Cricetulus griseus: one gene and its partner. The protein of the gene in region 1 interacts with the protein of each later gene in a pairwise test. Links are inferred from orthologs where the notes say so. Each region holds a gene or a part of one and is shown on either strand. Other genes may lie near its edges. The genes, in order: Smurf2 and Spart.

Region 1 (16,526 bases):
ATACACACATTTGTATAAATGTGTAGAAATGGATAAAGAAAAGGGGTAAAGCAAAATCCCCAAATCCTCTAGATAAGTCTGGGGCCAAATGACTTGTAATTATAGCACTCATAACAGTCTGTTGTTGAATCCCTAAACCAGGCAGTTCTGAAAATACAACTCCCCAAAAATCTACACAGGATATACAGATTTGTAGTAAAGTTAATTTACTTACGGAAAAAATCCTTTTTCACCAAGTTTTTTGCACAGAGTACTGTAAAGAAACAAAAACAAATACATAGGAAATTAAATTAAAATGGTAAGACTTCATTGCTTCGTTTTTAAACATCGAAAACAGCTGTGGATAATTAAACTCTAACTACAGTGAGGTATGAAATACAATCATAAACTTTGAAGAGTCTAGCCAACAAAGTTGAGTATCAATGATTGCAACCTTAGCAATAATCACTAGTAACAGTAGAGGAACAAAATTATAAATCTGATCATTTTATAACAGGGATCCAATTATCTTCCACCAAGACCTATTCTTAAGAGGGAAATTTTTCATAAAGGACTAGAGTGTGGTGATATTTTGTTTATGATCTAACAAATAAAGCTTGCCTAAAGATTAGAGTGCAAAGCTAGCCATACTAGGTAGCCAAAGAGGTCTGGCAGTGGTGGCACACACCTTTAATCCCAACACTCAGGAGGCAGAGGCAGAGACAGAGGCAGATGGATCTGTTAGTTCAAGGCCGCCCTGGGCTACCCAAAATTGATCCAGTCTAAAGGAGAAACAGAGCTCACACAAAGGTGATCCCAGCACTTGGAGTGACACGCCTTCAATCCCAGTACTAAGGAGGTGGAGACAGGAAGGGCTATGTCTAGGCAGAGAAAGGACTAAGGTGGGAGGAGACAAGAGATCATAGCAGTCTGAGGCATCAGTCTGAAACAGTCTGAGGAAGCAGTCTTGAGAGGCAGTGCAGTCTGAGGACAGGATCTCCCCTTGGGTCTGCGTATTGGTAGAGGTTAAGAACTCTCTAGTGGCTGGCTGCTTTGCTTCTCTGTTCTTCAGCTTTCACCTCCTGATAGCTGACTCCAAGTTTTTTGGTTTTTTTGTTTGTTTGGTTTTGGTTTTTCGAGACAGGGTTTCTCTGTGTAGCTTTGGAGCTTATCCTGGCACTCGCTCTGGAGACCAGGCTGGCCTCGAACTCACAGAGATCCGCCTGCCTCTGCCTCCCGAGTACTGGGATTAAAGGCGTGCGCCACCAACACCCGGCTCCAAGTTTTATTATTAAATACCAATCAGAATTTGTGCTACACTAGAGAGATGGCTCAGTGGTTTAGAGTACTTTCACTTTCAGAGGACCACAGTTCAGTTTTCAGCACCCAGGTCAGACTGCTCACAAATGCCTGTAACTTGATTTCAGGGGATCCAATGCTCTGCTCTCTTCTGGACTCTAATCAGAGGTGAATGTGTGAACACATATGTATACATGCGCGCGCGCGCGCACACACACACACACACACACACACACACACACTTCATGCACGAATACACACAAATAAAAATGAATTAAAAATAAAAAGATCTATTTTTGAAGAAATCCGGTGGTAATGGGAAAATGGCTCAAAGGAGAAGATACATAAATTCAGGTTGACATATCTATTTAAGGATGAAATAATTTTCTAAAGAAGAGGAACATAAATAAAAATTTCCTGATATAATTTGATATTTTTTTAAAAAAACTAACATTCTGTGCTCTGTAGTCAAGAGTTTTCTGTTCTGCCAAGTCCCACTGCCCTTCAGTCCCAAATGAATATACTGATGCTTATATTAGTTAGAAACTGTTTGGCCAATGGCTAAGGCTTCTTACTGGATAGCTCTCTATTAATTATTAACCCATTCTTATTAATCTAAGTATTTCCACATGGTCTTATCCTACCAGAGAATGTTCCAGCATGTTACTCTTTCAGCAGCTACATGGTGTCTTTGTCACCACCTCTCCCCAGAATTCTGGTAGCCCTGTCTATACTTCCTACCTGGCTATTAAGAGAAACATATACAGAAGGACATTCCCCCATCAGTGCTCTTATCTAAATGACACAGAAACCTTACAGGAGAGACCTGCCTTCCCTCAAATACCTCAGTGACAAGATGGGTCACCCATATGCTGGCTAGACTGCACATGCCAGACTGACAGCCTTAGTCTGATCCCCAGGACCAACATGGTAGAAGAAGAGGGGCCAACTCCTGAAAGTTGTCTCTTTGACCTCCATACCCCACCCCAACACACACTCATCAACAAATATAATCTTAATGTAAATTAAAAAACTAAATATCTCAAATCTGAGTGCCTTGTAATGTGAATATATGCACAACCTTCTGAATCTACCAAAAATCATCAAATTCAACACTTTAAAAATTTATTTATGGACTGGAGAGATGGCTCAGCAGTTAAGAGCACTCACTAACTGCTCTTCCAGAGGTCCTGAATTCAATTCCCAGCAACCACATGGTGGCTCATAACCATCTATAATAGGATCTGATGTCCTCTTCTGGCACGCAAGTATACAAGCAGAGCACTCATACATAAAATAAAAAAAAATTAATTTTATTTTAATGTTATGTGTAAGAGTGTTTCTATGCATCAATATATGAACACACACATGTGTGCCTGGTGTCCACAGAGGCCAGAAGAGAGCATCAGATCCCCTGGAATTGGAGTTCTGGACTGCTGCAAGCCACTATGTAGGTATTGGGAATTGTAGAGAAGTCAGTGCTCTTAGCCACTGAACCATTTCTCCAGCCTTTATAAACGTCTTTAATTCAAACTTAACAAGGAGCCAGGAGGTGGTGGCAGGTGCCTTTAATTCCAGCACTTGAGAGGGAGAGGCAGTTGGATCGCTGTGAGTTTGAGCCCAACCTGATCTACAGAGCAAATTCCAGAACAGCCTGGGCTACACAAAGAAACCCTGCCTTGAAAAACAAACAAAAACCTTAACAAGGAAAGAGAAAAATAAAAAGTTTCATATACGTATAATTAAATATATAAAATATGAATAGTTTTTGGTTAATCCCTATGTACTTCTCAGTTTTAAAGGTTTATCATAACAACTTAAGTTTGACATATAAAAATCATTTAGTATAAATCTAAGAGGGGGCTGGAGAGATGGCTCAGAGGTTAAGAGCACTGGCTGCTCTTCCAGAGGTCCTGAGTTCAATTCCCAGCAACCACATGGTGGCTCACAACCATCAGTAATGAGATCTTGTGCCCTCTTCTAGCCTGCAGGTTTACATGTAGACATAACACTATATATATAACAAATAAATGAACCTTTAAAAATAAATAAATCAATCTAAGAGGCCTAACTATAGCTAATTACTTTTGAATAAATTAAACAACATCAGTGTAGGGATAAAGGTACTGACAATCACAATACCCTAAATCCCTAGGCTGCATCTTAGAAGCAAATTTTTATTTGTGGATTTCTGAGACAAGGTCTCAGTATGTAGCCCCAGCTGGCCTGTAACTTGCTATGTGGACAAGGCTGGCCTTGAATTTACAGAGATTAAAGGTGTGTGCTACCACACCTGGCAGTTTTGTTTATAAAAACAAAAATTCAAACATGAAAACTAAGACCATAAGTGAAATTACTAAGTCATAAAATGGATTCGGAAAAATTTCCCAAACCTTTATCAGCACAGAAATCAAGCCAGTAGGATCAATACATATATAACACATGCAAATCTTGAGTTATGGCCTTTAATAGTAATAACAAGATGATTTTTAAATCGCCATTCATTCTCTGATTCATGACTTCAGAGAAACAGACAATCTGAGAATTCCCCTAACTAACTTCCTGCCATAAACTTATGTTTTCATACTTCTACTTACAAAGTCTACACTGTTGTACAAGACTCTCTCTCCACCTGTACTCTGGATATCACTTCCCACATCTACTCATGGACCTTGAGGGCCACCACAGACATGTGGCCTTGTCTCCTCTCACTACTCAAGCTTCCCTCCATCTGTCTCTGCTCTTTCATTAGGTAACTTCAAGTAACTATAATCTGGCTCCACTTCTTTACTGTTCCTGCCCATCAATGCCTCAGCCCCACCCCCCACCCCCCACTATTTAGCTTTTTCCCTCATCACAGCCCTACATTACTTATCCAAAGCCCAGGGACTTAATTATCAAATCCAGCCAGCAGATACTCTGCATTCTTTGTTGCATTTACTCCCTCGGGGAAATTTTCCACGACTGACTGACTACTCACTCTTTTGGAAGCTATCTCTTCTTTTGATTCTATTTAACAGCATATTCTCAAATGGCATAAAACTCACTCTAAGACTTTCTTGCCATATTTGGTGTTCCATCCATGAAAGCTGAGGTTCTTTAAGGTATTGCCCTTCTTTTACTGTATATTCTTTTACTGTATAACTATGGGTTAGTGTAGTCCCAAAGTTGGGCATGGTGGTGAATGCCTTTGATGCCCAGACTTGAAGGCAGAAGCAGGTATATCTCTATGAGTTTGAGGCCAGCCAGCTCCACATAGAGAGCTCTAGGACAGCCAGAGCTAACAGAGAAATCCTGTTTCAAAAAAAAATAAAATAGATGCTCATCTTAGTTAACCTTGAAATTCTATGTAATCTGCTATTGATATTCTTATTTTTCTATAGAAAGAGCTCATACCTCTAAGAGGGCTCATAGTTTAGCAGAGTAATAAAACTCTTCCATCTCAGTAAATAAACATAAAAAGCCATTTTTCATATATTCTCCTGGGTCTTTGTCATTTACTTTATAGTTCTGATAACATCTAACCTTTAAAACTGAACACCTAGATCTCCAAGCCTCAGGTCCACAAAAGAAAGAATGCTCCTAAGCAAATCATATACCCCAAACTATTCCTCCACCAGTTTACTTTAAACAAGGCTGAGGTGTACTTCAGAAGTACTTGTTTAGCATGCACAAGACCACAGGTCCATTCCCCTGCCCAGAAAAGAGGGGCAGCTGGAGGGGATGGGTACTTTTTTTTTAAGATTTTGTTTATTTATTATGTATACAACATTCTGCTTCCATGTATATCTGCACACCAGAGGAGGGTACCAGGGATGGTTGTGAGCCACCATGTGGTTGCTGGGAACTGAACTCAGGACCCCTGGAAGAGCAGCTAGTGCTCTCAACCTCTGAGCCATCTCTCCAGCCCCAGGATGGGTATTTTCAACCAACAATATCACCTACATGAGAAGCTCTGGGATACCCTCATCTGTCTACTTCTCTTCAGCCAATTCAGCCACAGCAATTACTACAAGCTTCTAATTGGGTCTCTGTCTCAAGCCTCACCAGCTTCCAGGTGCCAACACAGGACACTCTATGATCTTTTCCAAACACCTGATTACGACCTTTCCTTTTCTTCTCCATTCTTAAAGGTCTCAGATCAAACATATTTTCTCTTCAAGGCCTTGGCTACTGCTTACCTACTCCCTGACTTCATTCTCATCAATACAACTCCCAGTTAAGTTCCCTACTATAAGATCTGGACTAATTCTCAAAGGTATTCTTCCATCTCTCACTTACCACACATTTCATATGCCCTCCCTCCACAAAACATCTGTCCCAAGCTTCTTCACCTACCCATTTTTTGCAATCTCAAAAGGAAGAAAACATTTTTGAATGAAACAGAACTCAAAGTGTTGCAAAACTTCACTAAAATGGTGATTATTTTTCTTTAAACAATAAAACATAAATTAAAAACTAGGTATGGTGGCACATTCCTTTGATCACAGCACTTGGGAGGCAGAGGCAGGCAGATCTAAGTGAGTTTGAGGTCAGCCTGGTCTACAAATCAAGTTCCAGGAAAGCCAGGACTGTGAGAAAAAAAACTGAGAGCTACAGAGAGATGGCTTATCAGTTAAGAGCACTGGCTGGCTGTTCTTGCAAAGGTTCGACTCCCTGCACCCACAAAGCAGTCCACAACCACCTGTAACTCCAGTTCCAAGTACCCAGTGTGATATCTGGCCTCCACAGTCACCAGGCACACACATGGTACACCAACATACATGCAGGCAAAATATTCATACACATAAAATAAAAATTTAAAATGATACTGAAAACTCAAAAGAATAAAAACTGGACACATTCTAAATTTGTGAAGAAATAATTCAGAAACTACAGGAAAGTTGGGCGTGCTAGTAAACACCTGTAATCCCAGCACTCAAGGAGGCTGGTGGGAAAGAGACTGGAGACAAACTGACTGACTGACTGACTGACTGAATAGAGGAAGAAAAGAAAGGAAAGAAGAGAAATCAGAGTACTAGAAGAAACAAGATTTAAAGCAAGAAACATCAGGACTGTCAAATGATTATTTTGTGTGCATATAGATGGAGGTCAGAGGTTGAAGTGAGGTATTTACCTCATTATCCACCTTATTTTTTGGTGGACATGGAGCACACTTATGTGGCTAGACTAGCTGACACCAGTAAGCCCTAGTATTTCTAGGGCTTAGTTCCCAGAACTAAGATTACAGGTTAGTGTGCTGTGCCTGTTTTTTGTTGTTGTTTTTTTTTTTTTTTTTTTTCCCCTAAAGTGCCAGGAATCCAAACTCTGATTATTATGCTGACATAGCAAGCACTTACCAACTTTAGCCTTCTCCTCAGCCCCAGATTATTATTCCTGGGACTAAATCTCATCAGCTTCAAATAGCTTTAAAATGTTTTTTATTTATTTGTTTGTGTATTGTGTGTCTGCATGAGTTTATGGCATCACATGCAATAGGTGTCCATGGAGGCCTAAAGAGTGTTGGATCCATGGGAGCTCAAGATACATGCAATCTTGGGCCACCAAATGTGGGTACTAGGAACTAGATTCAGGTCCTCAGGACTCACTAGTAACAGAAGAGCCATCCCTCCAGCCCCCAACTGATTTTTTTTTTAAGATTTTATTTATTTATTATGTATACAGTCTTCTGCCTGCATGCCATCATAGAGCACCAGATCTCATTCAAGGTGGTTGTGAGCCACCATGTGGTTGCTGGGAATTGAACTCAGGACCTCTTGAAAAGCAGTCAGTGCTCTTAACCGATAAGCCATCTCTCCAGCCCCCCCCAACTGATTTTTTGTAAGTGCTTTTTATATATACTGTTTAATGCTTTCAAAGCAACATCTTATATTTGTAACTCTGAAAGGGAGGATTATCAATATGTGATCTGAAAATGGTAATTTTATTCACTTGTATAAGTAAATTATTTTCATACTCTCTAGTCTTCATTGTACTGCTCTTGTTTCTTGAAAATCTACTTCAGAGATTAGAACCACAGCTCTCTGGCTTTTTCCATCTTCAGTACATTAATTATGGGAGAATTACTCCATAACCGTTCAAAGAATTCATGAATTTCAATATGACAAACTCCTGATTATGCAACTATTATTATGCAACCTTTGCCTAAGGAAGTATGTTTCTGAGGAATTTGTATATATGTTTTTAATCTATCATTTTTTGGTAACAGAACTATGTAAAATATAACCAAGACTGTTTAATTCTTGTTTTCTAAATGTTTCTCAAGAGAGACATTTACACACAATGTTAAGAGTGACATAGCAGGAGAGGGCCAATAGTTCAGACTTACTCCTATCCATCTTTAACATTTAGTAAACTTCTTATTGGAATAATATAAACAAAGGACACAGAAATGCTGATTGATTAAATTTTCACTAATTTTAATTAACACATTGCACTAGCTTCAGATATTATGCAATTATGTGCTAATTTTAATCAATGATAGCTACAAATGTAGCATATTAATACTATAGTACTACCACTGAAGTCCATTAGAGACAATGTCTCTAATGAGCCTAGAGCTGCATACAGATTAAATCTGCTATAGTACTTTGATAATGTTTAATATTCATCTCAAATTCCTCAAAGTGTTTCTATTCTTAAATCTGTACTTCCCAAAGTTGTTCTAGCTAGTCCATCTACCTCCTCTAAAGAAATAATAAGGTAACCAAATTAAGGAAAGTTGTATGATAGTTAATCGCCATTGTGAATTTTATTGGGTTTAGAGTTACCTAGGAGTAGGTGGGGCACACCTGTATATGTTTGTGAGATGGTTTCTAGAGAGGACTCATTAAGGAGAAAGATCAAACTAGATGTGGCTGGCATCAATCCATGAGCTTAGAACACTGGCGGTAAAAAAGAAAAGCCACCAAAATGCCCCGTCCCTGTGCTCTGCTTCCTGGCCCACCATGATGTGAGCTTCTCTGCTGTACTAAGTCCTCATACAATGTTGAGACTGACATCTCAGAAACCAAGAGCCAAAATAATCCTTCCTCCTTTAAGTTGCCCCTGCCCCAGCTATGATTTAAGTAACTAATAGAATAGTATGCTAATAATGTCTCTACATTTCACATGGATAGGGGTATAACCTTCTTGATATGCTTATAGAGAACAGAATAAACCAATTAATAATCAATTCTTTTTTACTGAGACAGTCTCACTGAGTTGCCTTGGCTGGCCTCTAACTCCTCATACAAACTAGGCTGGCCTCAAACTCAGAGATCTACCTGCCTCTGCCTCCTGAGTACTAACATTAAAGGCATGCGCCACAAGGCCTAGTTTCATTCTTTCATTTGACATTTCCTGAGTACTCACTTTATGCCAAGTACTATCATAGGTTCTGCAGATAAAGATACAACTCAATTATCATACCATAAATACCTTTTTTTTTTTGAGGGAGAAATTAGAATCCTTTTATGTAACCCTGCTGTGCTCAAAATCAAGATCTAGGGATTGGAGAAATGAACCAGCGGATAAGTGCACCTCTCTGGTCCTGCAGAGCACCAGAATTCAGTTCCCAGCATCATCCACAAGGTGCCTCATAACTACTTGAACTCCAGTTCCAGGAAATCTGATGCTCTTTTCTGACCTCTCTAGGCTTTCTACATATACACACTATACATACATACCTACACACACACACACACACACACACACACACACACACACACACACACTCAACACATGCACACATATACATAAAGTAAAATAAATATTTTTTTTATAAACCAAGATCCAGGTTTTTATAAACCTGCTTCAAATTCCTGAGTGCTGGGATCATAGGAATAGGCCACTACATTGGCTACAAATGTCTTCTGTTATTTTTGCAAGAAATGTTTTTAAATTTTTTCCAAAAATAACAACAAAAATCTTTTTATATGTATTTGAAGTAGTAACTGGAAAAAACACTTGTGGAAGGGCGGCTACCACACTGTGGGTTAAGTCACTAGTTTCTTTTTTTATTAGAAAGAAGTTGCCTACCTGCAACAAGCATCTGTAATAGTATCAGTGCAATGCCCAGCGGTAGTAACAGAATGGTAACAGAATGGAATGCCCTGCTGTTCTCGTAAGTTGTACTCATAATGAATGGTTGTCTGTGCTTAATTTCAATAAAGCTCCCAACTGCTCATTATATCCTTGCCAAAAATTCCCCTTCCTCCTCCAGACTGCAGTTGCATTCCAATTACAATGCACACTGGAATGAAGCTGTTCAAAGGGGGTAGAGGGAGATAGTCAGATATCCTTCTTTTCTTTGCTCCCAAACAAACAAACTTTCACAATACTGTTCCTGTAACTCAAAAGTTACAGAGAATATTTTAGCCAACATATTTTTCTGCACGTTCTTCAAACTTACGTTGGCACTGTAAAAAGTTAACATGGAAGTCCAGTTTAACACCTCTAAATGAAATCCCAACAAGCTGGCCCAGGCTCCAAAAAATATGCTTCTGTGCACCATTCCTTACCACTGACACATGACAGCAGCAGTTTAGAATTGCCACATGTTATTACAGGAGCTTAGACTATAGCTCTATTGACAGAAGCCTGTGTAGCACATTCAGGGCCCTGGATTCCATCCCCAGCACCACATAAACGAGGTGCGGTAGTATATGTCTATCCACAGAACTAGAGAGACCAAGACTGAAGGAACTGAAGTTTAAGTCTACATAAAAAGTTTGGGGTAACATGGTCTACATAAGGCCCTATCTCTAAAAAAAGAAAAAGATAATATAGGACTTTGTAATAAGCAAAAGTATCAAATACAAATCTAAACACATACATACATTTTGGAGAACTACTTGAAAGTATTTCACTACACATAATTTCTTAGATTTATTCATTTTCATTATGTGTATATGTGCTATACATGTGTGCATGCAAGTGCATGCAGAGTTATAGAAGAGGGCATTGGATTCTGCTGGAGATGAAGTTACACGTCCTTTTGAGTCTCCCAGTTTGGACCACACTGGAGTCCTTGAAAAGAGCATCAAGTGCTCTTAACCACTGAATCACCTCTCCAGCCACTCAGCTATGAATTTCAAACCAGTTTATTTTGTTGGTGGTGGTTTTATGTTTTGTTTTGTTTTGTTTTTTTAAGACAGGGTTTCTCTGTGTGGCCCTGGCTGTCCTGGAACTCACTTTGTAGACCAGGTTGACCTGAAACTCACAGAGAGCTGCCTGCCTCTGCATCCAGAGTGCTGGCATTAAAGGCATGAGCCATTACCACCCAGCTTTAAATCATTATTTCTATGAATTATTTTCTCCAACTTAAAAATGAAAATATATATGTACACTGTTTTAGTTACATCAATTCCCTTGTATTCTGTGTAGGGGCCAAACACTGTTCTATCAGTTACTATTTGTGCTGGCTAGTTTTATATAAACTTGCCACAAGCTAAAGTCATCACAGAGTAGGAACCTCAATTAAGAAACTGCCTTCAACTGGGAGCACACCTTTAATTCCAGCACTCAGGAGGCAGCCTGGTCTACAAAGCAAGTTCCAGGACAGCCAGAATTATAGAGAATAACCCTGTTTTGAAAGGGGGTGGGAGAAAAGGGAGAGGGGAAAGAGGGGGGAGGGAGGGAAAGAAAAGCAAAAAAAAAAAAAAAAAAAAAGCCTCCAGAAGAGAGGGCTGCAGGCAAGCTTGTAAGGTATTTTCTTAATTCGTGATTGATGGGGGAGGGCACAATCCATTGTGGGTGGGACCACCCCCGGGCTGGTGGTCATGAGGAGCAAGCCAGTAAGCAGCATCCTTCCAAGGCCTCTGCATCATTTCCTGCCTCCATGTCCCTGCCCTCGCTTGAGTTCCTGTCCTGACTTCCTTTGATGATGAATTAAGATGTGGAAGCATATGACAAATAAACCCTTTTCTCCCCAAGTTGCTTTGGTCATGGTGTTTCATCACAGCAACCGTAACCCTAAGACACTATTCCAAACTCAACCACTTCCTCTGCTAGAAGTCTTCCTTCAAACAGACCTACTCATAAATGATGGCTGTCCCAGAGGTTGGAAAAGCATACTTAGGGGTTGGGAGAGGACAGTTCAGTGGCTAAGAACACTGGCTGTTCTTCCAGAGAACCTGGATTTAGTTCCTAGCACTAACATGGCAGCTAACTCCAATTCCAGAAAGCCTGACACCCTCCTTTGGCATCCTCAGGCACTGGGCACACATATGGTACACAGACATATGCAGACAAAATACATACATAGAATAAAAATAAATAAATAAATAAATCTAAAACTGTTTTGACAATGTCAGAACTGCATTTGAGACTGGTGCTACCATTTATTAGTGTGTAATCCGAAACACTATTTAATGAAGCTACGCCCTGAGACTTCATCTGAAAATAAGACTTCTATAAGTTACCTCATAGTGTTTTGAAGACTAAACAAACTAAACTACACAAAACAATCAGATTGGTACCTAATTTATAATCTATCAAGTGCTCAGCACATATTAGCTATTTTTGTTCTTTCTACTCTAAAATTTCCAGTGAAATCTGTTTACTACCAAGAAAAGAGTCTTCACATAATCTGACAAGAGGTTTATCTTAGTTCAGGCTGCCAAAACAAATACTGTAGCCTGGGTGGCTTAAACAACAAACACTATTTCTCAAAATTCTGGAAGATGTAAAGTCCAGGATCAATTGCCAGCAGGCTGAGTGTCTGATGAGAACCTTCTTCCCAGATTGTACACAGGCATGTTCTTGCTGCATCCCTGCAAAGCAAAGAAAACCTTCTTTTGTATCTATTACTAATCCTATTCATGCACGTTCTACACCTATCGACCTAATTCCCTACCGAAGGCTCCATCTACAGACAGCAACCCTTAGCAATTAAAGTTAACATATGAACTGGTGTGTGTGGGGGGGGGGGTACTCCACAGCAGAGTGTATGCACTCAGTTAAGTTTTCCAATAAATACTGACAAGTAAATCCCCATCTATATGTCTGGCTTCACTCCTCAAGCAAGCTCCAAGCCAATTTCAACTACCAAACATACACTCCTTACTTAGACATTTCACCAGCCCTTCAAATTTTATGTATTCAAGATGGAAATCATCAGTTTCCCCAGTAAGCCCCCTTTTTCCTTCTGACCTCTCAGTTCTATAAACTGCATGACATGTTTTCAAACACCCAGAAAGCAAATGCCTAGCCCTCTATTTAAAGCAGTTGACAAATTGCATTATCACTTATCTATTTCCATTTTCAATGTTCACATGTGTATGATATATCTAGCATACTTTAAAATGTGTCCAAAAACTTCCTCACAAAATATAGATTGAGCCTACAAACATGTGAGTTACTTTTTCTTATACACACAAAAAGAAACGAGTTGTGAGACAGCAAGATGGTCCAGTGGGTAAAGGCACTTATTACCAGGCCTGACAACCTGAATTCAATCCCCAGAAGCCAGCCACATTGTGGACGGGGTGGATAGAGAGAACTGACTCCCAAAAGTTGTCCTCTGACTGACACACTAGAAGTGGCATACTTGCACCCTGACACACACACACCCCAAACAAACAAACCCCACAAATACACGTGATAAAAAGCTGATAGGAGTTATAACTCATCCCACTTTGTCAAATAATAAATTAAAAATGTAAATCATTTTTCTGTCTCTTTAAAAATGTCAGTGATTCCACCCTTCTTTCTCATATTATTTTCTCACTAGACAGCCTCATTTCTTTGGCTCTCCTAAGTAAGATAGAAGATCTTTCTACCTTGGCATCATCCATGACACTCTTACCATCTCAAATGTGATTACTCCAACTAACCCTAAAAGTGGTTGAGAGTACCTTGTCCACTCTATGAAACTTCAATGTAAACCTTTCCTGACTGTCTCTGTCTCTGTTTCATGTTTGTCTGTCCTTCCCTTATTCCCTCCCTCCCCTAACCCTCGGATTCTAGTTCAATTTTCAACTTTTAATCAAGTATCACAGCGACTTCCTTAATCCAAAAAGATATGCCCTAGGAAACAGCATGGGTGGCCCATGGCCATCAAGGATAAGAAACAGTATGTATCTAAAGGAAGTCAAATACAATAATCTTGAGAATGTACAACTCTTCTAGGAAAGCTAACTCTTCTTTTTAAATATTTTATTTTGAATTACATGTCTGTGTGTGGGCTTGTGTATATGGGTGCAGCTGCTCACAGAGGTAAGGAGAGCTGGAGTTACAGGTGGCTGTGAAATGCCTGACATGGGTGCTGGGAACCAAACTCAGAACCTCTCCAAGAGCACATCATTCTTTATCTACTGCTGACTCTATTCTTACTTATTTTTATTTTATGTGCATTGGTGCTTTGCCTGCATGTATATCTCTGTGTGAATGTGTCATATCTTAGAGTTACACATAGTTGTGAGCTGCCATGTGGCTGCGGGGAACTGAACCTGGGTCCTATAGAAGAACAGCCAGTGCTCTTAAGCACCAAGCTATCTCTCCAGCCCTACTGACTCTATTCTTTTTCAGTTTGATTTTTACTTGTCCTTTCATGTGAGCCTCTAAGACCACTTTGACTCCACTTATTTCCAAGCTCCTTCTCACATCAACACATCAGTACTGTTCACGTGACATTTTTAATCATGCCTCCTGTCCCACAAAGCTGTTATTCTTTAATGTGACTGACATATATTGCCTACAGGTTGTTAAATAATCTTTTAAAAAGATTTGTTTATATGCGTTTGTTTGTTTATTATGTATGCCAGCACACCAGAAGAGGGCACCAGATCTCATTACACAGATGGTTGTGTGCCACCATGTAATTGCTGGGAATTAACTCAGAACCTCTGGAAGAGCAGCCAATGCTCTCAACCACTGAGTCATCTCTCAGCCCTGTTACATAATTTCAAACATAATATATATTCACATATTTATCAAATCAATAAAAATCCTAAGAAAATCACTGACAAAGCATTAGGATTAGGAAACTAGTAAGTAAATAATGAAATTTTCTCCTTGATTCTTAACCTAATAAAAATTGTTGTTCAAATCAAGATAGTCCCAAAACTACTTGTATTTGCTTAGCAAACTCTTTCAACCTTACTACCTACTGGAGTCCTTACAAATAACAGCCCTCACAGCCTATTCTCTAATGCACAGTAGAAAGGGATACTGTTGCACAAAAGTCTCTACATCTTGCTTCTACAACAATGTAAACAGGATAAACTTTCTGAATGTAAAAACTGCAGTTCTTTAGTACCTGATAATCTCCTAATAGAGCAAATCACCAAACAGATTCCATTGATAAATGCAGGCCACAAGAAAACTACACGGTAAAAAGAACTACAAGGGCCAGAAAGACTTCTCAGTAAGGGCTGGAGAGATGGCTCAGCGGTTAAGAGCACTGGCTGCTCTTCCAGAGGTCCTGAGCTCAATTCCCAACAACCACAATGTGGCTCACAACCATCTATAAGGAGATCTGGTGTCCTCTTCTGTCGTGCAGGCATACATGCAGGCAGAACACTGTATACATACTAAATAAATCTTTAAGACTGCTCAGTAAACAAAGGAGCTTACCGCACAAACCTGACCTCTCTAGCATCTGCATCCACATATCTGAATGCTGCTAATCCAGGCTTTGTAGCTGCTGACTACAGTGCAAATCTGACTAGGTGACATAATCCTAACTCAGATACACCATATCACATAAAAGTATGGACCACCAGATGCCCTAATTTCATACCATATGTATATTATAGACTACCTCCAGCCAGATCTCAACTTACCCACAATAAATGCAGGTACCACCAGGTAAGTCCACACAAAGATTTGGCTTACCCAATAAGACTCTTATCTGTAAAGAACTACCCTCTTGGGGCTGGAGAGATGGCTCAGCAGTTGAGAGGATTGGCTGCTCTTTTAGAGGACCCACATTCAATTCTCAGCACCCACACAGCAGCTCACAACTGTCTATAACTCTAGTTCCAGAGGATCTGGCATCCTCACACAGATACACATGTAAGGAAAACACCAATGCACACAAAATAAAATTTTAAGTTTTAAAAAGGAAAACTACCCTTTTCCTCCATCCTTGAGCTTAGATTCTGTGTTCTTAGATTCTCTAGGTTATGGTATGGGCAAATGCAAAAGACACAGATAATAGACTACAAGATCATCCCAACTGCTTAGTTACTCTATTCACAATTTGTCTATCAAATGACAAAGGAAACAAGGGGGGAAAAAAGCAAATCTATTAAGACCCTGATTTTTATATGCTATTATGTCCAAATTGATATATGTGTCTAATACTATAGTATAAACATACCATGGGCAATTTATAGTGTCAGAGGGTACTTTGTGGGAACTTGCAATCCCAACAAAGACCTATATCCTCCAACCCCCAGTGTCTTAGAACAAAGGAGCTAAAGCCCACAAAGCAAATCTCTGCCTTCTTAAACTAACTCACAAGGACATCAAATGCTTCATGAGTTATGGAGGTTTTTTTTGTTTTTGTTTTTTCCCTTTTTGGATTTTTGAGAGAGTTTCTATGCATGGCCCTTGATGTCCTAGAACTCACTTTATTGACCAGATGGCCTAGAACTCAGAGATCCATCTGCCTCTGCCTCCGGAGTACTGGGCTTAAAGGCATGTACCACCACTGCCCAACTAACAGAAGTCATTTCTCTGTCCTGACTTCCTGCCTTGAAAGTTCACCTTTCATGCTATCTTCTGGAATGCTACTATTCTAACTCTTCCTGCAAACACCTGATGCTTCCTACCATGAATTTCCTAGTATCTTCCTACTTCACAGTCCTAGCTCCTTGCCTGTTGTTGAGCAAAGCTAATTCAGGACAGACAGCCTCACAATTACAATTAAGGACCAAAGTCATTTTGGTTTGGTTGGTTGGTTTTTGAGACAGGTTTTGTTTAGCCTAGATTGGCCTCAAGCTCACTGTATAAATAAGGATGACTTTGAACTTCTGATCATCCTGCCTCCATCTCCCAATGTTGGTATTACAGGCACGTGTCACCACCCCATGTGGTGCTGGGAATACTACAGGCACGCTACCAAACTGAACTCCATCACCAGCCCCCATCATTACTGTTTGGAAACTCTGGCCTCAAGTGATTGAGAACTCATGTTTTCTGAGCTTATAATAGTTTTACATATTTATATACCCAGACCAAGCAGAACATCACAAACTTATAAACTACAACTTTCCCTAAAAATACTTCCCAAGAACCAGGCTGGAGCTGGGCATGGTGAT
Region 2 (16,510 bases), on another chromosome or scaffold:
TGTGGATGTCCTGGGACATGTTCCATGTTGACATGCTGGGACAGGACTGCCCTGAATCTGCTGGAGGGTGTGTCACTTCATAGCCACCTTAGTGCTGATCCAGTTCCAAAAGAGTATGACAACCACAGAAACAACACAACCGGGATGCTCCAACAATTTAATACTGTCTGTCTGTCTGTCTGTCTGTCTATCTATCTATCTATCTATCTATCCATCCATCCATCCATCCATCTATCATCTATTATTTTACAAAGATGATAGACAGAGGCTAAAAGTTGTGATGACAAAAGTCAAAAAAGAATGAGGCTAGAAGGACAGGCAGCACCTCACCATTGCTTTGTGGCTCTGGGGATAAAGTGAGAGGTCCAGTGATGGGGAGGGGAAGATTCGGCACCTGATCCCTGGACCCTAGGAAAAGAATTCAGTTCCCATTCAGATACTTCCACAGAAAAAATAATATAATAAGGGAAATAATAAAATCAACTGGAGATCTTTATGGTTCTTATTGTTTTCAGAATAAAGGGAAAATTCTGTATTTTACTATTCTTGTAAAGCATTAAGCATCTATAAGTAGAGCTCTCTGAGTTACATGATACTTAAAATATAGTCTATGCACCAGCTCCCAGGAATCTCTCAAAATGAACTTTTAGGCCCTTCTCTGCATTAGTGAATCAGACTGCATTCTTTCATTTTTAAAGTTTTTTTTTTAATTTTGTATGTATGAGTGTTTGCCTTTGTGTATGTATGTGCCCCACACCAGTGTTTGGTGCTTCAAGAAGTCAAAAGGGGGTGTTGGATCTCCTGGCACTGGAATGACAGATGGTTGTGAGACAGAAATCAAACCTGGGTCCTCTGGAAGAGCAGCAAGTGCTCCTAATTACTGGGCCATCTCTCCAGCCTGCACATATTTTTTAGAAGACATTAAGTGCAGGCATATCAACAACAAATATCTCTGGCCCAGTCAGTCTTGTCCTTCCATCACACAAATCTTCCCAAACAGAAAGTTAAGTGACTGAGCAGAGAACAACTCCTGTAGCATGCTGGAAAACAACCTGCTGACCAAAAACAACACTTTCAGGGGGAGAGGAGCAGCATGTAGTCTACATTCTGAGAGCTGTGTCTGTCTGACAGGAATGTCTTTCAGAACATGATGTCAGAACTCATTTCTTCAATCGATGAGTTACTTGTCTAACAAGTCTAGGGACAACATTGCTGTCGGTTCTGAGCCCTGAGATCTGCATTTGCCCTCCCCCATCACAGACACTCTGCCCTGCAAGCCTCTGTCTTCTATAATGCATGGGTAATATTGGTCCCATCTCCAGAATGAGGCTGGAGCCACAACACCTCCTTAAAATCATCCCCAAGGTCAGTATTAACAGATCCTGCTGGGATCCTTCATATATCACACAGGCAAAGATATGTTCATTATATATATATATATATATATATATATATATAATATATATATAATCAATAATTTTATTTAAAAACACAATTTTAATCAGTATATATTGCTTACTGTATAGATTCTGTAATAGGGTCTAGAGAGATGCCTTGTAGAGGACCTGGGGTCAGTTCCCAGCACCCACATGGCAGCTCACAACCATCTGTAACTGCAGTTCCAGGTGATCCAGCGCCCTCTCTGGCCTCCACAGGCACTGTATACATATGGTGCGCAGACATACATGCAGTCAAACACTCATACACATAAAATAAAAATAAATCTTAAAAAAATATTGTAATAATTAGTTGTAATCCCAGCACTTAGAGGTGAGAAGGGGGTTTGAAGCCAGCCTACATAGCAAAACCTTGACTCATCAAAATCAAACCAAATCAGGCAAAAATTGAGATGATTTTTAAAACAGTAGAGATACTTAGTAAAGTTTAAAAAAGTTTTCTGTTTTCTATCAGAGTAAAGAGGGATTTTGACAGTTGCAAAGGGATTTTAAATATAACCACAGTTATTGCTCCTGAACACTGTGGACCAGTCTGTGGAGCTACAAGGCAGAACCACACAGAAGTACTGAGTATGCAAGTTCACAGGGTTCCATCTAATTTATATCCTGGTGGAATTTACACAGAACAGCAGTTTCTTCTGCTGGGGCTTTTAGGAACCGTCTAGGTTCTGTCATTCAGAATCTGAGTCTTGTGGCAAGTTTAGCAGTCACCTATAAAGACACAAATTCTTTCCACTCATTCCCACAGCATTTGTGTTGATGCAGCTGGCACTGACTCCTCAGAAGACAGGGATGGAAACCCTGTATCCTGGTTTGTGGTTATGTGGCATTGAGTGTTGAAATGGACATGGGTAAATCACAAGTCAGCTCCAGCTCCATGTCAGAATGTGTGGAGGTTTTAACATCACCTTACAAAAAATTAGAATCACGTGAGTAGGGAGCCTCACTGGGGCTCATTTTCTCATATGCAGGACCTTCCATCCCTGTCAGGAAATACCTGATGTCACACAGTCATAAACCTAAAAGACCGTCCTAACACCTTTCCCTCTTCTGTGTCCAAGCCTGCTCCAATGAGTCAGCTGGGTTACCTGAGTAGGGTCATGAGGATTGAGAAAAGGCAGATAAAAGAAACAGGGACAGAAACACAGGATAGATTCGGGAGGACTGCCCAGTTAATACTTTTCAGCACACCGGACAGCCCCGAGTTTAATTTAGACCCTGCTTATATACAGACTATAGGCAAAGCAGAACAAAGAGCGGCATAGTCAATTAACCAGCTCCCTGCACTGTCCTTTAATGAGGAGCAGCCAAGCTCACTACCTATCGTGTGGGTCCTGCTAGCAGCAAGCAGCTTCATTCCCTATCTCTCTATGCCTTTCAGCTAGCATCAGAAGCTTGTTAGTTAGATAATATGATCTTTTCCCTGGGCTTCATCAGAACTTTTTCATGGCTCTCAGGGAGACTGGAGCTAGCAAACTTGAACTCTAATGTCTTATTAGCCAGAATAGACTCCAGATGGAAACTGAGTCACTTGTGGGCTCCCACACCTCTGTCCTCCCTGCATCCCAACTCCAGCAGCCTTATTCTAGTAGTCATAAGACCCATCACTCTGGGTCTGCCAATTTATCTATTTTCCTAAAGAAAAATAAAAACAGAAAATCCAAAATTGTAACATTGAGGGGGGCGGGGCAATGTGTCTAAGTGATCACAGTGTCAAATGGCTTCCATTTATTTAGCAGCAGATTAATTTTAATTTTTGCATATAGGTGTTTTCCCTGCATGTATGTTCATGCATCACATGTGTGCATTGCTTGAAGAGGCCAAAAGAGGCCATCAGATCGCCTGGAACTGGAGTTACAGATGATCATGAGATGCCATGTGGGTGCTAGAAATTGAACCCAGACTCTCTTCAAGAGCAGCCAGTGCTTTCAACTGCTGAGCCATCTCTCAACCCCCTCAAAGAGGTTTGTTAAAACAAAACAAAACAAAAACACAGCTTTGTGTATATACTATGCCAGTCATTCCGTTATGCATACAGACAGGAAGCAGTGTTTAGCTATCATTGCCATGTTTTAGCAGTGAGAAAATGGAGGTGCAACTGATCAGAGTAAACTGGCCCATGGTCCCAGAGGTTAGCCGCAGACTCGGAGTTTCAGTGTGGGTGCTGGGCTTCAGGGTCTGTGCTCTGGCACAGAATGCTTAGCAATCTGTTCCCTCCACCCAGAGTCAGAGCTTTGCATATATTATCATATTTAATCCCGAGCATAAGCCTTTGAAGAGATCACTGCTATCCCAATTCTACACATGAGGAAATGAAGTTTTGACACTAGTAAGTAGGTTGTCTAAGTTCGAGCTGGAGGTTGGCAAGAGGGCAAAGATTCAAATACAGGTTCTTCTGACAGCCCATGCTATTAAATATGTCTGTTTTAGAGCCAACCTAAGGAGGCCACCTCCTCTACCTTGGCAACATTACTTTCTTTACAAAGATCTTTCTGGTTTTCATAAAATATATCTCCTCTTGGGGTAAAGAACACCAGGCATGGTCAAGGTTTAAAATCACACACTCCAGTTTAAACTGTAGTTAGTACTAGATACAAGACCTTGGCCACATTTTCTGTCAACAAACCTCATTGCACATTGTTTGGATGGGATTCAAGGATGATGCATAGAAACCATTCGTGCTGTGTGCATGGTGGTTAGTGCAGCACAAATTCCCAAAGAGTAACAGGTCTGTAAAGGGTGGAAATCTGGCCCTGGCAGGCCATTGCTGGCGTCTGGAATCCTCTATAAAAACCTTTGGGATTTTCATCTTTTTGTCAGGGGACAGTCACCTGTTTGGCCCATGAGAAATTATAAAATTAAAAGGTACTTATTTTTATTTCACATGTATGGGTTTTTTGCCTGGATATATGTACATGCACCTCATATGTGCAGTACCCATGGAGGTCAGAAGAGGTTATGGGATCCCCTGAATCAGGAGTTAGAGATTGGTTGTGAGCCACCAAGAGTAAGCTGGGAACTGAACATAGGTCCGCTACAAGAGCAGCCAGTGCTCTTAAACACAGCTGTCTCTCAAACCCCGGGAGTATGAAATAAAAGTCAGACACCTCTGCTTGGCTTGGGAAAACAGTATTGGTCCAAATTTAGTTTTTTAGAAAGTTGGTCTTGCTGGGTTGCAAAAGGCCCTGTAACTAATTAACCAATTGATCTGTAACTGGATAGTTAAACTGTAACCAATTGACTGGTTGACTGAGTGGAACTCATTCCATAGCTCTAGGCTGCCTTTTCTTTTTCTGTAAGTGCCTTCAGATCATGTTGGATTTCCCAGAAACTGCTGTAGCTCTTGCTTCCCTCAGCAGCTTGTTTTGCTCAAATAAACACTATTGAATTTAATTGGTCTCAACAACTTTCCGTTTTGTAACCCTCATTAGGAAACTTTGTAAGGCTTCCAGATTTAAGGCTTACTTAAATAAGTAAAATCCATCTCCTTTAGTGTTGGTTGTCAAGACTATTTACAGAATTTAGGAAAATTTGTTTTAGCTTCATAATTTAATATTGATAATCTTGGGTTATTAATGTGTGTGGGGGGGATGTGAATTGCAGAGACTGGAGGAGGACACTTAGAGTCCTGCTCTGTGATTCTACAACATTATTGAGACAGGGTTTCTCACTGAGCCTAGAGTGAGACAGTCTTAGCAAATCCACACAAGCCTCCTGTCATCCATTGGGTCACAGTGCTGTGTCATGGCCATTATTAGCTTATTATATCAATGCTGGGGATTAGAACCATGTCTTCATGTTTGTTCAGCGAATGCCTTTAGCCACTGAGGCATCTCCTCACTTACAAAATTGAAGACTACAAACAGAGGGTTTGACAAGGTGTTGATGAAAAAAAAAAAGGCCTCTGCTTATATTTTTCTGGACTAATTTTCTTTAGACTGCTTTTTGGTCCCGTGCAGTCCATTCCTTACCTCTGCTCCACCCACATGTTGCTGAATGTTGTACAGGTTAGGCATCCCTAATCAGGGAGACTGGAATGATCCAGGATTGGTAAGTGATTAGTACCATGGTGCAAAGGGTAAACTTCTTCATTTGATAAGTGGCAGTCAAGATGTAAACACACTAAAACTGCATAAAATTGCCTTCAGCCTGTGTGTGTAAGTTATACATAAAACATAAATTAATTTTGTTTAAATTTAGGTCTCTTCATCTCCATAATACCTTATCATATCTGTACAAGTATTCTGAATTTTAAAATATATGAAACCTGAGGTATTTCTGCTCTCATGCATTTTGGATGAGAGATACTTGACTTGCAAGATCTATTCTGAAAGAGCGGTGTGGCTCCTGAACAGTGTCCGTATATCAGGGTTACACAGGGTCAGTTGAGCCTGCAGTTGGTAGTGAGGATAGACCTGGAAGTCAGTGTTTCACCACTATGGCTAAAATAGCGTAGTTATACACAGAAGCCATAGTGAACATAAATTTATCTCAAAAACAAACTAACAAAAAAACAAAGACTAAACATATTTAACTTAAGTTCTTGTCCAGATCCCCGAATACCCACATCTGTTTTTGACATTGAGGACAAGACAGGAAGTCAGATTCGAAGTTAGTGGTTTTAACCTGGAAGTGCCCCTGGATTTTACCAAAATACATATGACCACAGAGCTCATATTGGGAGCTGGCTTAGAAGGAGCCTGTGCAAAGTAGGACCCTCATGGGTAGCCAAGTAATACGTATCATGCTGACCATTTAAAATAGGAAGGCAATATTGTTGGAGCTATCACACTGATCAAAGTGGATTAGGATAAAGCCTCCAATGAAAACTTTACCCCAATTTTGGATTTGCTACACATTTTTCATTGAAGCCATTAAAATACAGGATACTGGAATTTTCTTTGGGGGGGCTCTGTAAAAAAATTGGTATTTTTTAAAAAAAAATTTTAAGTCTCTACAAATTTCTTAAGCACATGCAGTGGATGAAGAAACATCCGTTTCAAAAAATCTAAAAACTCAGTGAGAACAGCAGAAGGTTTTGAAATTTGAATCCAGTCTTTCTCTTCCTCCTTCTTTCTGCCTTTCTTTCTGTTTCCCCATCTCCCTCTCTCATGACAGGTCACTGGGATGGAAACCACCCCAGACTTTTTTGGCCAAAAACAGTCTCCGTGGCCAGTAGTTGGTGAGCTAGCCCCACCCAGCATCTCTCCTCCTACCACTCCTACGTGTTGCTGAAGGTAGGGTGTTATGAGGATGGTGGCAAATACGGTGGGTGCTTCCTCCTTCTAAATACCACTAGAGGGTATTTAGACATTAAATTGAACATGGCATACTGGAAATACCAGGTCACAACCACTCCAAACTGTCAATCTTTGTAAAACCATTTTGAAGTAGTTCCTAGAAACCGAGTAAGTGAATAAATATAATTAGTTGGTAGCAAATAGTTTTTCAGTCAAATGATTCAATTTTTTTATTGCCTGAAGAAATGGACTTATTGCATCAACACAGTGTGGATATGGCATTGTAAAGTGATTTGGAGCATATAATTTGAAAGCAGTTCAATGAATTGAGGAAGGATGCGGTTATAAAATCTGCCTGATTCATCTAAATAAAACAAACAGGAGTGTGTCCTAGTTTCATCTGTTGCTGTGAGAAAACATTTCATCAAAAAAGCAACTTGTAGGAGAAAGGGATTTGGTTTAGCTCACTATTCTAGGTTAACAGTTCATTGTGGTGAGGAAGTGAGCAGGAACCTCAAACAGCTAGGCATATTCCATCTACGTTATAGAGCAGAGAGAAAAGAATGAATGCATACATACAAGCATGCTCACTTGACTGCTTGCTTGGGCTCAGCACAATTTTTCTCCACCCTTTCAGGACTCCCTGCCTAGGGAATGGTGCTGCCCACAGTGGGCCCGCATACATACACATCAACTTAACACAGACCATCCCCCATTGAGAGTCTGTCTAGGTGACTACAGGTGATGTCAAGAGAGTAAAAGGAGTTTTATAATACCCATTCAACTATTTGGATCAAGACAAATGAGTACTTGTTGGCACAGTTCTAAGGGTAGATTTGATGTGCTGTTTTTGGTTGCTTACAATTCCCACCAGTGATGCAGGAGGGCTTCGAACCATCTTGCCAAACCTGTTACTGCCTATGTTTTGATTACAGCCATTCTAAGGAAACAGAAGTCACACCTCATTCTGATGTAAGCCTGAAGACTTATGGTATTGACCATCTTCTGATGCTGTTTCTGGTGGTCTGAATATCTTGTCTGAAGAAATCGTTACTCAAACCCTTTATTCACTTTCAATTTTTTGCTTTTATAAAGCATTGAGGTATGTTCTTTATGCATTATAGATTCAAGTAAGAAATAATGACCTCTTCTTCACTGCTGAACCATCTCTCCATTCCCCGTCCTAGTTTTTCTCTGTGTCACAACAGACTTAACTCTTTGGATGACAGGTCAGGTAGGGTCCCAGGCTCCAGTCAACATTAGTTCTCTACGTCCTCAATGCTCGACCCAGGGCGCCCCCTGGCGGTCAGAAGCTGTCATCGCCCGTGGCTGTGCCGGTCCCTTCAGCGGCCCCAGGGCGGCCGGTAGGGAGTGCGCAGGCGCGGTCCGACGTGGCCCGGGCCTGGCTGGGACCGGAGTGTGTCGGGCGTGTACGGCGCTCTCTCAGTGGGCTCCCGGGCTCGGAGCGGACCGCTGGCCTCCGGTGCGCTTTCTGGAAGGTCAGAGTGGGCAAAAGCTCAGCTCGGCGCGGGTGTGGTGACGCGTGGGCGGGCCCGGACACAGAGGGCGTCACTCGGGGCTTTGTGAGCCAGACTAACCCGGGGTACGCCGCGGGCTGTGGGGGGCTGCGGCCCGCGCCACGCCGGCATCTTGCAGGGAGCTCTTCTGCCGCAGAAGTTTCCAGAAGTCCTGCAGAGGGTATTCCAGCTAGTATTGAAGGAGCCTTCGCCCTCCCTGCACCCTCCAGAGTGCTGGCCCCGGGAGTGGCGCTCAGGTCTTAGATCCTCCCACCCCAGGACGCCGCGCATCCCAGTGCGGGTCTTCCCAGCCCTGGTACTCGCTTGTTCCCTGTGAGTCCTTCCATACCTGGTCCCTGCGGATTCCTAATCTGAGTCCTCCCATCCCTGATCCCTCCCTATTCATCCCTGTGTGCGTCCTCCACGGTTCTCTTTCCAGACCCCACTGGCTTTCTCGCTCCCCAGGGCCTACAGCTTGCCCATGGGTGGGCAGCCAGCTCCAGGAGCCACAGCACTGGGAATGAATGGCGTGGGGGTTTGCTCATTGGAATAGACTGGTTACTGGCATTCAGCGTCTCTGAGGACCCCTGCGGCCTAACTTCATATCTGGAAAAAGTTTTCTCTGGGAATGCGCACGGTTTTGTGACGCGGCATTATTGCGTTAGTGTATGGCTGGCTCCGTTACTCCCATGGCTGTGTTATTTCTTGATGGTCCTCGAGGTTTGCCTTGTTGTATTATACACTTAACGATTTTGCCTTCTAATTTTTCCTTTTTTTTTTTTTAAATCTCGATAAAATGACCCTCGGATATCTAAGAAGTTAGCAACTATCTTAAAATTTACAGAAGCAATTAGGCGAATAATAAGTCAGTAGAAGAGTACTCCTAGTTCCTAGGGAACTGCTCTTGGTCCGTGCTCTTTTCTGACCGTCTTAATCGATGGTCGTGGAGGACTTGTTTGAAACAGGAAACCTCTGTACTAATGTGGAATGTGGTTTGCTGCCCATGCGTGGTGCTTTCTGAAACATACAGTTCTCTAGCAAGCCAGAATTGGCTAGAATGGTACAGGAGTCGAATAGAAACCCACCCGGAGTTTTAGTTCCCCATGTTCCCTACCAGGATAGGAGTAAGTGATGTAGTTTTTGGATCTTAGTTCAGTCTGCTGACTGTAGCTAATCATGGAATGTTGTACACATCAGTGGGACTGAATTTCAGCTGTCTCATTTTTTAAATGTCATATATCTGGGGTTTTGAGTAAGCTAATTAGCTTTATTTCATCATTCCATATTTCATTTTTTAAAGAATCAGAATAATGGGGCTGGTGAGATGGCTCAACCCTGGAATAGGTACTTCACTTGCAGAAGACCCAAGTTCAGTTCCCAGGGCCCATATCTGTGTTATAACTGCCTCTTATTCCAGCTTCAGGGGATCCAATGTCTCTTGGTATCTATACTCCAGTGCACATAGCTGCCCCTCCCCACATGTGCAGAATTAAGCAGAATTAAAAATAATAAAAACAAACCTTTAAAAGACTAGTATAGTTCAAAAGTCAGACTGCACTATCACTTTGTGCCCTGTAAATGTCTGTATGTAACTTGCCGGTATATATTTTAAATAACAAACTCTTCCCTTTCCCCCTTTTTTTTTTAACAGACAAGGCATGCTGGCTTTAGAACTTCTGTTGCTAGCTGTGTTTCCCTTGAGCACCATTGTTTGCTACCTTTTCTGTCATAGAATGGAAGCCAGTTTCCAAGTATTTTGAAACAGAATTTTACTTGTGCTAGTACAAAGTGAACCACAGACACACATGCATATAGCTGTGTTTGAAATAGGTGCATCTGAAATTTTTTATTAGAATGTTTAAACAAGCTGATGGCAAAGTTTAAAGAGCTATGCCTGAGGAGGACCTGAGTTCAGATCCCCCTCTTCCCCCCCCAAAAAAAAACTGTAAAACTGTAATCTCAGCCCTCCTACTGGGAGATGGAAGGCAGAGGAAAGAGACTTCCCAGAAACTAGCCTTGTCTATGGAGCTGAGAAAACAAACAAACCCCAAAACCAAAAACAAAACCTGTCTTCTTAGAGTGAACAACACCCAGTGTTGTCATCTGACCTCCCTAGGCCCTGGGGCACATGTCTGCCAACTTTTCACCTGCAGATTTGTTCACACAAGGATAAGAAAAGAAAAATGTTTAAAAGTCCACCATTGTTATCTAGAATCGGGTATTGGTTCATGATTTGATAATTTGAATATCAAGCTAGTGAAGCACTGTTTAATACTTCAGACTGACATTCCAAAGGCTTTTCTTTTCCAAACTTTGAGAATTAAAGCATATGAAATCATTAACAACTTTTCAATCTTCTCAAGACCTACAGTAATCATTTTCCTTGAGAATATGACTGGACAGTGCTTGGTTCACTGTTTCTTCTAAGCACAGGAGCCCAGCTGGCTGCCCCGAAACCACACCCAGCCCAGCATAGATAGCCATGAAAGCAGCCCAGCACTATGTAGATGGTAGATGATGCTTTTGGAAGGTTGTACACTTCTGAGTCCATGCCTCCTTGGGCCCCAAGAAAAATGAACTATGGAATGTTTGTCCTGTGGCTTCTGGGAGGAGAAAGTGGTTGGGATCTATTGAAGCCTGTGGCATTATGATGACATAGCAGGATATAATTCCAGGGAAAGTGCAGGGTTAATTTCAGTAGTGACACTGGGATAGGGCAAATACCCGTTTGTATGTGGCCACTTGTATGTGGTATTTTCTGAATTGGAGGCTGTGTGTGTTCTGTCCACTACCATGAAGTTGCTGTGATTGGGCCAGCTATTGGCCTGTCTGATTTTCAGTTCTGAGAAGTCTGACTATTAAAGTCTGTGGCATCTTCACTGTGTAGACAGCTATGGAGATATTCTTCTGTCTCTTGATTTTTCTTCCTGTCCTGAGAAGCTGTACAGAGAGCACAGTGCTAAGCACGGGCACATGTGGGTGTTGAGCGTTTGCTGTAGAGTATATTGGACTTGACATACACTTTGAAGTACAGCAAAGGCTGTCTTTGGAAGATATAACACAAAGAAAAGTACTCCACAAATCATTTTTATACATGTCAGAATAATACTTTGGTTGTATTAGATAAAAGCTATCATTGAAATTTCACCTGTTTTCTTTTACTTTTGTTAGTGGTTCCTGGAAAATAAAAATTAATTTTGTAATCCTTCTGGACAAGGCTGCTGCAAGGCTTGTATTTATTTTGTAAAGTAAGTAACTCACCTTTCACCATGTACATAAAGAATTAAATATCTTTGAAAGCCAGCCTCTCTCTTTCCAAAGGCAGCTTAGATTGGTTTTCTGACCCAATTCTTGGTGTTTCCGTATCTCTCAGCAGTATAATAACATGGCTACTTTTTGTTTTACAGTTAAAGTCCCACTGAAGAGGTTTCAGCTCCTTCATCCTGACACACAAACTTTCCATCCACCCATCTTCCCATTCTCTCAGTCCAGTTTGCTGCAGTTTTCAATGTTATGACACGAAGAAAAACAGAATATGCCCTGATTACTTCATGGTTTTTGTTTGGCATGTTCTATCTGGAGTTACTAATTATCTTGATTTTTATCTCTGCAATTTTTCATTTTTACTAATTAAATCCTGAATTTTCCCAGGGTTGTATAAATCTTTCCTAAAACCTAGAAACACACCAGACATTGTCAGTTTTTATTTCCTGGATACTTACTGAAGTGTCTTCCAGTCTGGATGTCACTCTGGAACCAACCTGGGAATCCCATCTTCAGCCCTGGGATTCCACTCACCGAGTGCAGTGTGCAAATAACTGTCCCCAGGTTGGCCTCTCACCCTGTGCTTTAATGTCCCCCTGAACCTGCTTTCCAGCTCTGTCAGCTCTGTTTAAACTCAGGAATCTGTGCTTCCTCTTTGGGATTTATCTGCTCTCAGTGAATTACTCCCTTTACTCTTTCATCCGTATTTTCTCTATTCCACTTTTTAGAGCATTTTATGGTTCACATGGGGCCCTCTGGACAAAGTCCTAATTTCATTCTTGTTTCCCGTTGCTCATCTTTTTATTTCATTGCTCTCCATTCTGGGCATTTTCTCTAACTAACTTTTTCTCTCTCCACCGAGTTTACTTTCCAGCTGTTTTATGTGTAGTTGTTAAAAGCTCGTTTTTTTGAGGGGGGTGTCCTTTTGGGTATATGCATATCTTTTATCTTACGGATATTTTCCCCTAAGAGGTGAGCTGTAGGTAGTGGTGCATCACCTTGTTTTTAACTTTTGAGATAGGATCTGTAGCTGACCAAGTAGACTACAAAGCCTGTCAGTGAGCTCCAGGGATCTACCTCCCCCGCCCTGGGGTTAGTCCCCTGGGGCTGAACTCTGACCCACTTCTCCAGCCTTTACAGTATTTTAGGACCACCAAGAACATTCATTTATCAACTATGAAGTACTTGCTGAAGGCTCTCTCTGAAGGATTGGGAGCAGGACAGAGATCAGTGAGGCAGACCCTGTCCTTGAAATATATTCACGTAGGAAACAGGGCTAAGTACACAAAACACTAACTGGGTAATGGCAGGTGATGTTTCTTGTCTTGCAGAGATGGAGCAAGAGCCAGACAATGGAGAACCCGCTGAGATTAAGATCCTCAAGGAAGCATACGAGAAGGCCTTTTTGTTTGTTAATAAAGGACTGAACACGGATGAGTTAGGGCAGAAGGAGGAAGCAAAGAACTACTACAAGCAAGGAATAGGACACCTGCTTAGGGGCATCAGTATCATGGCTGCAGAGCCAGGGTGCACAGGCCCCGCGTGGGAGTCAGCCAGGCAGATGCAACAGAAAATGAAGGAAACACTTCAGAACGTCCGCACCAGGCTAGAGATTCTAGAGAAGGGCCTTGCCACATCTCTGCGGAATGATCTTCAGGATGTGCCTAAGTTATACCCAGAGTTCCCTCCTAAGGATACATGTAAGAAGTCCCCAGAGCCAGATTCGGATAGTTCAGCCCCCCAGCATGCTGAAGTAGATGGGAGTGCCTCTGCTGCAGGTGCCGCAAGCGCTGGGCCAAGTGCTGCGCTCTCTGCTGGGCCCCTACCCAGCTGTCCCACCGAAGCGCCCCCAGCCTACACCCTCCAGGCTGCCGAGGGTCACTACACTGTTTCCTATGGAACAGACTCTGGGGAGTTTTCCTCCGTGGGAGAAGACTTCTATAGGAACCATTCCCAGCCGCCCCCTCTCGAGACCTTGGGGCTCGATGCAGACGAGTTGATTTTGATACCGAACGGAGTGCAGATCTTTTTTGTAAACCCTGCAGGAGAGGTTAGCGCTCCCTCATACCCCGGATACCTGCGCATCGTGAGGTTCTTGGATAATTCTCTGGATACGGTTCTGAACCGCCCTCCTGGGTTTCTCCAGGTAAGCTCTTTGAAGCAACGTGCAAGCATAAGCCAAGAAACAGGTAGATTATCTCATTTTTTGTTGTTGTTGTTGATGTTTGTACCGCACAGGGTAAGAGCTAAAGGAAACGCATTTCTACTGAGTTCTGATACATCCATGTTTAGTTTGCTGGGATTTCTTCTGTTTTTAATGTTAGAAAGCTGGTTTGGATTTTATTTGTGGTTGGTTTTAGGACCTAAGAGAGATTTTTTTTTTAATTTTTATCTGAAGAAGACTTGTAGTTACTTAAATTTCAAAAGGTATTTATGGGAATCATGAGACTGAATATCAAGACCCACGGGGGGGGGGGGTGTGAACTGGCCTAGAACCACTCAGCCAGGGGCAGTGTTGCCCCTTGAGGGATCATTTTTAACAGTGTCTCAGAGTGTTTTCCTTACAGCTGAAGGGTGGTGGTTACCCGGTGTATCACAGCAACCAGTGAAACTGCTCAGTGGCCACACAGTACAGCCCATCAGGAAAAAATTGTCCATCCCTAAACCTCAGTCAAATGGAGGTTGAGAAGCCCTGGCCTCCGGGGGCTGAAATGCAAATAGGTTGACCAGAATGGTCCAAGAGTAAAAACTAACGAGAAGAAGTAACGTGTGTCAGGGCTTTTCTGGGGGCTTAGTGGTGTCTGCTCAGGTTCAGTCCAGCAACAATCTGCTGTGAGAAGGTTGCATGTAGGTGCCAGGAGATGCGCTCTTGAAAACTGGGGCACAGTATACATTCATTAGGTTTGTGTGGAAGAGAGATCACTGTTTAAACAAAGCTATTGCTTGTGCCCAGCCAGAGTCAGATAAGGTAATTTAGCTAGGCACTGGCTGTCTACAATTTTCATGCTACTTTGCCCTTGTTCTTATGGAAGTCATTTAACAACAGTTGGAAGCTAATCAGATGTGGAAACAGATTCTTGGGGCACAGTTGAAAGATTGATTACTGGACAAGAAGAATTGACTCAGTTCTCTCACGGAAGAAGCATTAGGGTTAAAAAAGAGCAAGCTGGTGACTGCGGTTAGGGGAGGGGTCGCAGAGAGTTTCTGCTGGTCTGGTTAACAGTGTTGCATAGTCACTAGACCTAAGAGATCTCTGGGTCCTTGACTCGGGAGGTGCAGGAAGAGAGCATCAGAAAGATGGCCCTTGGCTGCTGGATCTCAGATACGAAGATGCTCTCACTCCACCAGCACTTACTTTATCTTGTCCTATTTGATTTAATTTGGTTCTTAATGTTTTACATACCTTGTGTTTGGGTACTAAATAAAAAGTAGAAGTGCACCCCACATCAGCTGCCATATTAGCTATTTGTTTGTAGCAGTGTTCTGGAGTGTCTAATGAATGTATTTATCCTAAAAAACAAAAACAAACAAAAAACAGGTAGTAACACAGCTGTCTATTAGAATTTAGGTAAAATCGCCTATGCTCTAAAAATCATTATTAATTAGGAAAAGTAATTTTTTTAAAAGATTTCTGAGTTCCCTGGCATAACTTCATACTTTAGAAAACATTGTAGTTAGCTTTGTTCTAAACTACATGAATTTTACTATAGTAAAAATTGATGGCTTTTGAGATAGAGAAGAAAATTCATTTAAAAAAAGGGGGGGGGGGGCTGAAAATGTTTTTCAGGCCCTTTCCAGGAGTCAGCCTTGAGCAGTGTGGTCTTTGCACATTGTCTTCCTCTTCTGTTCAGAAGGGGGCGATGTGTCCAGTTCCCTTTGTTTCTGTAGATTGATCAGACACCTTTGGGTGTCTTCATGGTGGATGGTAGTCTAAGGATGGGACAGTTATACTTCATTTGCTAGAGAGTGTAATACAAGAGAAAGGAATACATTCAGGAATTGTTTGGATAGCCAGGATAATATGAGCTTAAGTCTGTGTGTTGGGACAAGCTGACCTCCCCAGGTGGTAGTACAGAATCATTTGGCTTTAGTGTCCCAGTCCCCAGTGACATACAGTGTTCTGCTCTGTGTGTGAAATGTCAGGTTCCCTGGGCACTTGTCAAAGCAAAACCTAAGTAACAACTCTATTTTTGACACAAAGTACATGCTCAGGTGCAAGCTGTACTTTCTAGTGGTCAGTGCTGAGAACCTTAGTGACCTGGCTGTGTCTCACCATTTTCACAATGGAAACAACCTAATTGTTCATAGGGATAAAAAAAAAATGTGGTGTGTGTATAGGTAGGATACTGTGCACCACAAATGCCCTGGAGGTCATTTTGTTAAGTGAAAATAGCCAGACACAGAGGGTCAAGTACCACATGATCGGAAGACTGAGAGTGGAGTGATGGTTACTAAAAGCCATGCATGTGGGGAAAGTAGATGGGGGAGAGGAAAGGGTTGGTCAGTGGGTGCTGAATAAGGAATGACCAGCTGTGCCTGTATAGGGTGTAGGAGAAATGCTGTGCTTTTAGAAGAGATTTGAGTTTTCACTGTGAAGAAATAATGGGTTTCTGAGGATGTGATACATTTAACTTCACCAAAACATTACTGGTTACTCTGTTAGCATGTACAGCTTTATAGTTTTATTTACCAGTTCACAGTGAAAAGGACTAGCCAGATTGATAGAATGCTGTGAGGATTAAAGGTATATCAGATACTGTACTAGAAAATTATTTCGTGCTATAAAGGGATCTAGTTAGAATAATCAGCTCTTGGTTTACATTTTATCTAAAGCTAGCATCATCTTTACTCAAATATAGGAGCCCTTAAGTAACCCCACTAGCTGTAAGACTATATGAGTGGAACATTTGCAGCTGTTTGTAATGCAGGAAGGTCAAGGTAGAGGATGGTTTATTTAAGTTGGGGTTACTGATGGTCTATAAAACCATCAAATGCATCAAACTCTGACAGATTTGCTTTTACTGTAACAATC

The links.
Region 2: the proteins of Smurf2 (region 1) and Spart interact in a two-hybrid assay, tested with the Homo sapiens proteins (2 studies listed by BioGRID and IntAct). The link is inferred for Cricetulus griseus from reciprocal best matches to the Homo sapiens genes SMURF2 and SPART.

The regions. Positions count from the first base shown.
Region 1 is NC_048600.1:119,820,945-119,837,470, forward strand, and holds the start of Smurf2 (E3 ubiquitin-protein ligase SMURF2), read right to left. Parts: upstream 9,413-16,526; 5' UTR 9,398-9,412; coding exon 9,298-9,397; intron 254-9,297; coding exon 215-253; intron 1-214. UniProt on the Homo sapiens protein: E3 ubiquitin-protein ligase which accepts ubiquitin from an E2 ubiquitin-conjugating enzyme in the form of a thioester and then directly transfers the ubiquitin to targeted substrates.
Region 2 is NW_023276806.1:96,039,223-96,055,732, reverse strand, and holds the start of Spart (spartin), read left to right. Parts: upstream 1-8,077; 5' UTR 8,078-8,196; intron 8,197-11,385; 5' UTR 11,386-11,462; intron 11,463-11,530; exon of another isoform or gene 11,531-12,042; intron 12,043-12,809; 5' UTR 12,810-12,811; coding exon 12,812-13,624; intron 13,625-16,510. UniProt on the Homo sapiens protein: Lipophagy receptor that plays an important role in lipid droplet (LD) turnover in motor neurons.